2 linked regions of the Caenorhabditis elegans genome follow. The protein of the gene in region 1 purifies or fractionates together with the protein of each later gene. This does not show direct contact. Each region holds a gene or a part of one and is shown on either strand. Other genes may lie near its edges.

Evidence for each region. The genes of interacting proteins can lie anywhere in the genome.
Region 2: the proteins of coq-1 (region 1) and mppb-1 fractionate together in Caenorhabditis elegans (co-fractionation; one large-scale study listed by BioGRID). This does not show direct contact.

What each region holds. Positions count from the first base shown.
Region 1 is NC_003279.8:5,412,312-5,417,223, reverse strand, and holds coq-1 (All trans-polyprenyl-diphosphate synthase PDSS1), read left to right. Parts: upstream 1-1,594; 5' UTR 1,595-1,688; coding exon 1,689-1,732; intron 1,733-1,782; coding exon 1,783-1,879; intron 1,880-1,932; coding exon 1,933-2,046; intron 2,047-2,093; coding exon 2,094-2,170; intron 2,171-2,487; coding exon 2,488-2,579; intron 2,580-2,624; coding exon 2,625-2,728; intron 2,729-3,093; coding exon 3,094-3,204; intron 3,205-3,301; coding exon 3,302-3,437; intron 3,438-3,483; coding exon 3,484-3,627; intron 3,628-3,787; coding exon 3,788-3,969; intron 3,970-4,016; coding exon 4,017-4,097; 3' UTR 4,098-4,383; downstream 4,384-4,912. Other genes in the region: erp-44.1 (Thioredoxin domain-containing protein), read left to right, coding at 18-119.
Region 2 is NC_003282.8:9,073,115-9,077,103, forward strand, and holds mppb-1 (Mitochondrial-processing peptidase subunit beta), read left to right. Parts: upstream 1-1,558; 5' UTR 1,559-1,562; coding exon 1,563-1,595; intron 1,596-1,641; coding exon 1,642-1,764; intron 1,765-1,813; coding exon 1,814-1,900; intron 1,901-1,960; coding exon 1,961-2,090; intron 2,091-2,143; coding exon 2,144-2,529; intron 2,530-2,612; coding exon 2,613-2,717; intron 2,718-2,772; coding exon 2,773-2,892; intron 2,893-2,943; coding exon 2,944-3,040; intron 3,041-3,088; coding exon 3,089-3,384; 3' UTR 3,385-3,457; downstream 3,458-3,989. Other genes in the region: Nuclear hormone receptor family member nhr-11, read left to right, coding at 106-254, 305-406; mans-4 (alpha-1,2-Mannosidase), read right to left, coding at 3,480-3,618, 3,661-3,989. UniProt on the Caenorhabditis elegans protein: Catalytic subunit of the essential mitochondrial processing protease (MPP), which cleaves the mitochondrial sequence off newly imported precursors proteins. Preferentially, cleaves after an arginine at position P2.

The DNA of each region.
Region 1 (4,912 bases):
TTCGTAAGACATTTCAGACTGGAAATCAAGCACCGGACACTGAGCCACCACCGTCTACATTCGAGAAGTTGAAGCCTGCTTCTTCGAGATACACAATTCTTGACAAAACGGAACTTTAATTTCTTTGATTTTTCATTTTTGTTTATAACAGAGCTTTATATCACAATTGCAACATGGCCTTGTTTTGCATTTCTCTGGTGTTCTTTTTTTTTAATTTTCAGTTTTATTCGGTCAATTTTCCATTGGTTTTGGTTTTATTTCTTGGTTTCTACGAGGTCCCCCCACACACAACTATTTAATCCCCGATTTCCACAAAAAACTATACATTACTATGTTATTCCATCGGATTGTTGTTCTTTTGCCAATCAAAATCCATTTCTTTCCTATTCATCTCTCTGAAAGTTTTAGTCAATTCCTGTCTGTGATGCGCGGTTTTATTCTTCGTTTTCCCATGTCTCTATCCCTGTCTTTTTTTTGTTTTTAGATTCAATTTTATTTCAAAAATTTTTTGAATCTTAAATTCAAAAACAATCAACAATGTTAACAGAAACGAATGAATATATTTATTCTTTCTATTTCTTCAATAACCTTTTTGTTTTGGCGGTTAAATGGATTCAATCCGATTCATCTACTTGTCAAAGGTGATTGACCAAATTTTTCACAAATATTTTTATTTGTTCCTTTTGAAAATTATCTATCGATCTTCTTTATTCTCGATAAACTCGAACCAAAGAGAGAAAGAAACAAAATTTGATAAAAAATATATTCTTTTTTGCTAGAGAAAAGAGAATTCAAAGAACACTGAGATAGGGACGAAGTGCGTAAGAAAGAGAGAGCACAGAGAAAAAGAGAAGCGATCTTCGGCGGTGAAAAGGGGAAAAGTGGGAGGCTACATTCATTTTCCATCTTTCTGATCACCTTTATACAACAACTAATTTATTTTTATTTTTCCGAATAAACTGTATTCGGAGAGACTTCTGTGAATCTCTAGTTGAAAATAATGATTCTCTAATATTTAAAGTATTTAACAATATTTAAAAATGGACGTATGGTTTTCAGATAACATACTATAAATAAGAGATAAATTGGTGATATAAATGCCAATTGATGCAATAATTAGTGAAAATGGTCGAAAACTGTAAAATCTTGAGAAGTACACTGGTTGCTTGAATCAATCAGTGTATATAAAATTGAATTCAATTCAAAATTTGGCAAATAAAAAAAATATAAAAACTAGTTCCTGGTTTCTATATTTTCTTTTCTAATCCAAAAAATTATTTACCAATCTAACATTGAAAAAAAATCAGAGATATTATTAAAATAAAGTTCCTCTCAAAATTACTCCAAAATTTTCATTGGCATTTTCAAAGTGTTTAGGCTATAATAATATAATTTATTCAAAATTCTCGGTTATAACTATACTCCTTTTTACTTTTAATCACGTCAATCACATCTTTAATGCGAATTTCAATTATCAGCTGTTTCCTCTCCTGAATGGACAGTTATATCTGTTATCAATGACTCTTTTGGCATTCTCAGAAGCCTCAATTTGCATCATTCACTTTTCAAAAAACTTATCTTCATTCACTTTCAGACCTCCTAAACCCACATGAGCCGCCGGTGAAACTAGTTTTTGAGCACTGAAAGAAACAAAAACTGGTATAAAGAATCAAGAATAGAAGATAATTATGGGTGTTCTACCGAAAATCAATATTGTCGCAAGGCAGTTCAGGTAACAACTTTTGAAATTTTAAATTTCCGAAATTCAAAAAAAAATTGCAGAAAATGTTCAATGGCAGCCACATCAACATCTACATCCTCATCAGATAATAGTGTTGCTTCAACAGCTTTCGTGCAGGAACATGTTAGACAAATGCAGGTTTATAATTCACTAAATTCAATAAAAGTTTAACCAAAAAACTGAAATTTCAGAACGATATAATGGTACAACTAATACCACAGGATGAATCGGGTGCCGTTGAAAATCTAGCAGACTTGAATGTTACATCGAATTTAGGACGAATGACACATTATTATTTTCAACAGGTTTCTAAAAATATATTTTTCCAACTCATAGACATTGAAAATTTCAGGGTGGAAAAATGTTACGGCCGACTGTATCGCTTCTTATGGGAAATGCTTGTAATTCCGCAGCGAATCGTTCAATTTCGTAAGTTTATTACATGGAAAACTTTTTATATCTGAAAAAGAAGAGCAGTCTGATTTACGTAGATAGTGCACAGGAGAAAATGATTTTGCTATTTTTGGCATAACTTCATATTGATGAAAATGAAACTAATTTTAAAATATTCCTATGGTGCTGAAATGACTACATACCATGAACTTTTCAAAACAATTTTCAATTTAACTTTTCACATGTCGTAGTACAATTCTAACAGTAGTTAGTCTAATGGAGTTTGGCAGCCCGTATTGATGTTCACTAATAAAATGTTTACTGATCAAAAACGAAAAAAAGTTTTTTTGCAGAGAAGAGTACCTGGCAATGTTGTCAACAGAACGATCAGGGATCGCCGCTCATTTATCAGTATGTCAAAATCAGTACAAAATAGGAATGATTGGTAAGACTATGAATAGTCGGAAAAGAGAAATAAAGAAATTTACAGCCGAAATGATCCATACAGCGTCTCTAGTGCACGATGACGTCATTGATGAGGCGAATACAAGGCGTGGATCAGCTAGTGTCAATGCTGTTTGGGGAAATAAAATGGTAGATTTTTTGAAATTAAAACAAAATTTTAATCTTGAATATAACATATCACGATCTATAAAAAATAAAGAATTTTCAAAACAAATTGGATACTGTAATCCGACAAATTTATTCTTTTTTTGCTGAATTTTCCAAAATTTTCAGCTTTTAAAGCAGCTTTCTCTGCAAAAAAATTATTTTTAGATTTTAGAAATGTTGATTAAAACTATATTTTTTGGAGAAAAACTGTGAAAACCTGGCAAACAGAAAAATCGAAAATTTGGTCGCTCTACAGTAACCTCTTGCGCATAAATTTTTCTCTTGTAAACTTAGAAGAAGTTTTTAGGGATAAAAACTTCTAAATTTATGTTAAAAAACATTTTCAGTCAGTGCTCGTCGGAGATTTCATTCTTGCTCGTGCCACGCAGATTCTTTGCTCCATCGGAAAACCCAACATCATTTCAGTTATGGCGTCGATTATTGAAGATTTGGTTTTAGTAGGTTTTAATCAATTTATTTATTTATTTATAATGAAATTTGAATATTTATACAGCTATAAATTTTCAAATTTTCTTCTAATAAATAATATTTTAGGGTGAATTTATGCAAATGTCAACAACTCCAACAGATGCTACACCAGTAGACAGAATGAAGGCTTATATAGAAAAAACTCATCGAAAAACTGCCAGTTTGTTCGCCAGTAGTTGCCGGTCTGCTGCTATTCTTGCAGGTGGTTTTTGCATCAATTTTCTTTGCAACATATCGGCCTTTTTCAGATGGATCAGATTTGAAGCTTCATGAAATTGCGTTCGAGTACGGTCGAAATTTGGGAATCGCTTTCCAACTTGCTGACGATCTTCTTGATTTTATAGCGACTGCTGATGAAATGGGAAAACCTGTGGCCGCTGATTTGAAATTAGGTGAATGGAATTACCGATATTTCGTAAAAATTTGGCACTTCATTTTAAATGGTTTTCTGAGTGGGTCTCGCCACGAGTTTTTTTGAGAAGAAAACGAATAATATAGTTTCAAGTTTTTGCAAAAGAAGAAAAAATAATTTTCAAATTTTTTATATTTTAGGTCTCGCCACTGCTCCGGTACTATACGCTTGCGAGCAATATCCTGAGCTCAATACGATGCTTCTTCGAAAATTCAAGCATGATGGAGATGCTGAAAAAGCACGGGAAATTGTTGTAAATTCGGATGGAATGGATAAAACGCGAAGATTGATTGATTCATATTCACAAAAAGCTGTTGAAATGGTAATTTTTTAAACTGAAACATAGAAAAAAAAAATTAAACTTTTCAGGCTTCATCCCTCCCCAACCGCAATGAATCTACGGAACATTTAATCAAATTAGCCATGTCACAGTCGGATCGAAAATTCTAAATTTTTGCTGAAAAAATTGTTTCCCTTCTTGTTTTTCATATTTCTCTGTAGCTGTAGGATTGTCGTAAAACCAGTTTTTAAACCACTTTCTGGTTTCTGGCACTCTTTTGTTTTTTTTTGTTTTTTCTATGCATTTTCGTCCGTTTTTTTGTATTCCTGTAGTTCTCATTTAGTTGCCGTCTTTTTTGTTGTTTTTTTACAGTCAGTTTTTTTAAGATTCAGTCAATTTCATCAGTAGAAAATTATTGAAATTTTTAGATTTATGAAAATGAATTCCTTTTTTTTTAAATACGGTAACTTTTAGTTGTTGTCAGGGTGGCTCAGGCGAGGGAGAATGAGAATATAAGAGACACTCTGACCTCTGCGTGAAGTTGAAAATATTTTTCAGCGCATTTTTTCCCTCGTTTTCGGTCAAAGAACGCATAAAAAAGAGAGAAATTAGAGAGTTCTCATAGCAGAGAGATTTAGAACAATTCCTTTTTTGCCGCCGCCGCTCCTCTCTGTTGACCACCCAACCAACCAAAAACGGAGCACTCGCCATTAGAAATCGTTGAAAAGTGAGAGAGCTTAGATGAAACGACGCTCCGCCCGTTTTAGCCATTCTTGTGTGAAAGAAAGGCATTTTTTCTTGCTAAGAATTTTTTTTCGTTCTTATGTTTCTTCATCGCCCTAATTTTCTTGAAAATGAGTTATGCGAAAAATTCGAATTATAATTTTTTTTTCTTCAGTTTCTGCGATCTGCAAAATATTGACGGCTTCAACACAATAAATCCACAGTTCACCGTGAGTTTTGAACTTTCGAAAAAAAACCTGTC
Region 2 (3,989 bases), on another chromosome or scaffold:
CATTTAGATTTGTTTTAAATAAAAATTCAAATACGATATACATAAGTTCATAATCTTTTTAAAAAAATGTATTCAACTTTCAAATTAATCCTTCAATAATTTCAGCATACTTCAAGCTAACTGAAAATGGCCGTGAAAAATGTCGTAGACAAAGGAATATCATAATTGGCTTTCTATCAAAAATGTGTCATTCACCAGGTGGAGGCGGAGAGCATCGTGTTGGAGAACTTCTGATGAGTATGAATTATCTCAGGGTTTGTTTATTTTTGTATAACAGCTATCCAGCAAACAAAGGATATTACAGGAATCTGCTCAAAAACTCACAACTTCTTACGTGATGCTCACAGTTTTCAATGTTCTCAACTGTGATTCAATGCTTCATGAAATGCTTAATTTTCAATACTAGCTAAATATTTGTGTGAAAGTGTTTTATTATGTTCAAATTTTATTGTTTTATCATGATCGTCAATAAAACAAGGGCAAATACTGTTTTACTACTTGATCTCTTACTACGTGATCTCTTTTACTATGATTTGCATACATAGATCTTTTACGACGTTTTACTCTTTTGCTACAACCGTATTTTTTACTCCGTTATCCCATTTCGATCTTTTGCTACAGTTTGTATCTTTTGTTACGGTGGACATTTTTACTACAATGACAAGGATTGTATCCTTTACTAATGATTTTTTACTACATACGAATTAAAAATTAATTTTCATAGTACATATATTCTAGATATGAACAAATGTATGAATATTTTTTAAAAATGCATAGGTCACAGTTTTAGTTTGTTCTCAAGTAGTTCTAGTAAATTTCAGTTGTTTTCTTTTGATGGGATACTGAGTTGGAGTTCATGGAGAGATACTGTTGGGTTACTGTAGTTGTACTGTGGTAGTAAGAGTTTTCAGATTATATCGTTTTTTTTTTTAATTTCTAGAAATTGATTCATTATGAAATGATCAGAACTTATTATGAACATTTGGCTCTAGATATTAAAAAAACACGATATGCTCTTTTGTTCTCTTGTAATCATGAATAAGGATCGCTAGATACCCACTCCTGTTTGTGCGCGATTATAAATAATCCCCGAAAGGACATTTCCAAAATTACCGTTTCCCTGGACATCGTTTTCCAAAAATACAAGCTCTAAACGAGAGCCCCTTGATGTTTTTTATTTGGTTCGAAATTTTATATGTCTGCATAATCTGAAAAATTAATTGGAAATTCCGAAGTTATGAAATACCGCGTGCAATTGTTCAAAATCTTTTATTCAAACTTCCGCCTTTTTGCCCGCGGCGGCCGCGTTTGTGAAAGTTCTTCCATTCGCTACGTACACCTCGTGGACAAAGTTAATTTCACTTTTTTAGAAGCATTTTCTGCAATTCTGTTCAATTTTTGTTTAATTCGTTACTCTAATCGTTTTGTTGTATCAATGTCAGCAAAAAGATTTTTATTCCAGTATTACGTAGATTTGTTTGTGTTTAGCCGACAAATTGAGCTTCACTATTGCGTAACCATTGTTTCCTTGAAAATAGAGCATATAAATTTTTTTCAGATAAATGTACAGAAGACTAGCCTCCGGCTTATATCAGGTAATTTAAACAATTTTGTTTACAGTGAAAGTAATTTATTTTTCAGACTTCCCAAAGAAGAATCGCACAAGTTCAGCCGAAATCAGTATTTGTCCCAGAAACAATTGTAACGACACTTCCGAATGGGTTCAGAGTTGCAACAGAAAACACAGGTGGATCTACTGCTACTGTAATTATTTTTCCTAAATTATTTGTTTGTTCAAAGCTATTTTTATTAGATCGGAGTATTTATTGATGCCGGCAGTCGCTACGAGAATGAGAAAAACAATGGAACAGCTCATTTTCTAGAGCATATGGCGTTCAAAGTTAGTTTAATTTAATTTTTAGAAAATTTTGAATTTCATATAAAAATCCGAATTTTTCAGGGAACGCCTCGCCGGACTCGAATGGGATTGGAGCTTGAAGTTGAAAATATTGGAGCTCATCTAAATGCGTACACTTCTAGAGAAAGCACGACGTATTATGCTAAATGTTTTACAGAAAAGCTTGACCAATGTAAGAAATAAAATTATTAATGCAATTTTTAAAATATCTATTCCGAATTGCAGCCGTCGATATTCTTTCGGATATTCTTCTGAACAGCAGTCTTGCCACTAAAGATATCGAAGCAGAACGTGGTGTAATTATTCGAGAAATGGAAGAAGTTGCACAAAACTTTCAAGAAGTTGTATTTGATATTCTTCATGCTGATGTTTTCAAAGGAAATCCTCTTTCCTATACAATTCTTGGTCCAATTGAATTAATTCAAACAATCAATAAGAATGATCTTCAAGGATATATTAATACACATTATCGAAGTGGCAGAATGGTATTAGCAGCAGCCGGAGGTGTCAATCATGATGCGATTGTTAAAATGGCAGAAAAATATTTCGGAGAGCTCAAGCATGGAGATTCTTCAACTGAATTCGTCCCAGCCACTTACAGTCCCTGTGAAGTCAGTTTTTGTTTGAATAAATTCGCTATCAGCAAATATTAAATAGAATTAACAAAATATATTTTTAAATGTTTACATTTCAGGTTCGAGGTGACATTCCAGATCTTCCAATGTTGTACGGAGCGATGGTTGTCGAAGGAGTATCTTGGACCCATGAAGATAATCTTGCCCTTATGGTGGCTAATACGGTACTTTTTTAAAAAATATTTTTATAACTTAGAAGTTGATAGTTCATCATTCCAGCTAATGGGTGAATACGATCGTATGCGTGGATTCGGCGTGAATGCTCCAACTCGCTTGGCTGAAAAATTGTCACAAGACGCAGGAATTGAGGTTTTCCAATCATTTAACACGTGCTATAAAGTAATGAATTCCTGGGAAAAAAAACTCTTTTTACATATTTCTGTAATTCAGGAGACAGGATTAGTTGGAACTTATTTCGTAGCTGCTCCGGAATCCATCGACAATCTTATTGATTCAGTTCTTCAACAATGGGTTTGGCTTGCGAACAGTGAGTTTTTATTTAACATAGTCCTGAGTCAACATCTTTCATTTCCAGACATTGATGAAGCAGCGGTTGATCGTGCCAAGCGCTCCCTGCATACGAATCTACTCCTAATGCTCGATGGCTCAACTCCAGTCTGTGAAGATATTGGTCGACAACTCCTTTGCTACGGTCGTCGGATACCAACTCCAGAATTACATGCCCGAATCGAATCAATCACAGTCCAGCAGCTCCGAGATGTTTGCCGACGTGTATTCCTTGAAGGACAGGTCTCTGCAGCAGTTGTTGGAAAGACGCAGTATTGGCCAGTTAATGAAGAAATTCATGGAAGATTGATCAGAATGCAATAGATACATGTGTTATAGTTTATTTGTTAGACAAACGTTTTGTTTTTGGTAAAAATAAATTCTAAAAACCCGTCAAAAAGTGAAAAATACAGCATCAGTCAATTGTAAATTGGAAGTGGGTGGGCTTCAGTGTTGAGAACCCATCGATCGAGTGGAAGGATTTCTTGATCATCAGCCATTAGAAGGTAAAGGTATTTGAGGGTCTCAGCAAGGAAGAATGATTCCATTTTGTCACGTCTGAATTTGAATGATTAAAAATTAAACAAAATGCTGACAAACCTTTTGATCTTCTTTCTGAGCACATTGTCAATTGAGCTGTATCCACCAGTTTCCACTTTTGCATACTTTTCAATCGACTCAAAAGCTTTCCATCCCCACTCTTGATATTTCTTATCTTTAGTAACACGATACAAATAGAACCACGCTTCAATTGCTTCTGGACGGAGAAGTGAATGAGCATCAAGATTCTTCACATAAGTATCCGCTTGTGTCATATCAGAACTATCCTCCATATTGAAATGTATTATTTCTGGTCCAAGTCCTGTTGGATTTTCATACATTTTATGACAAACATTTCCAATATTTTTAGCCATTTCCAAATGTTCATT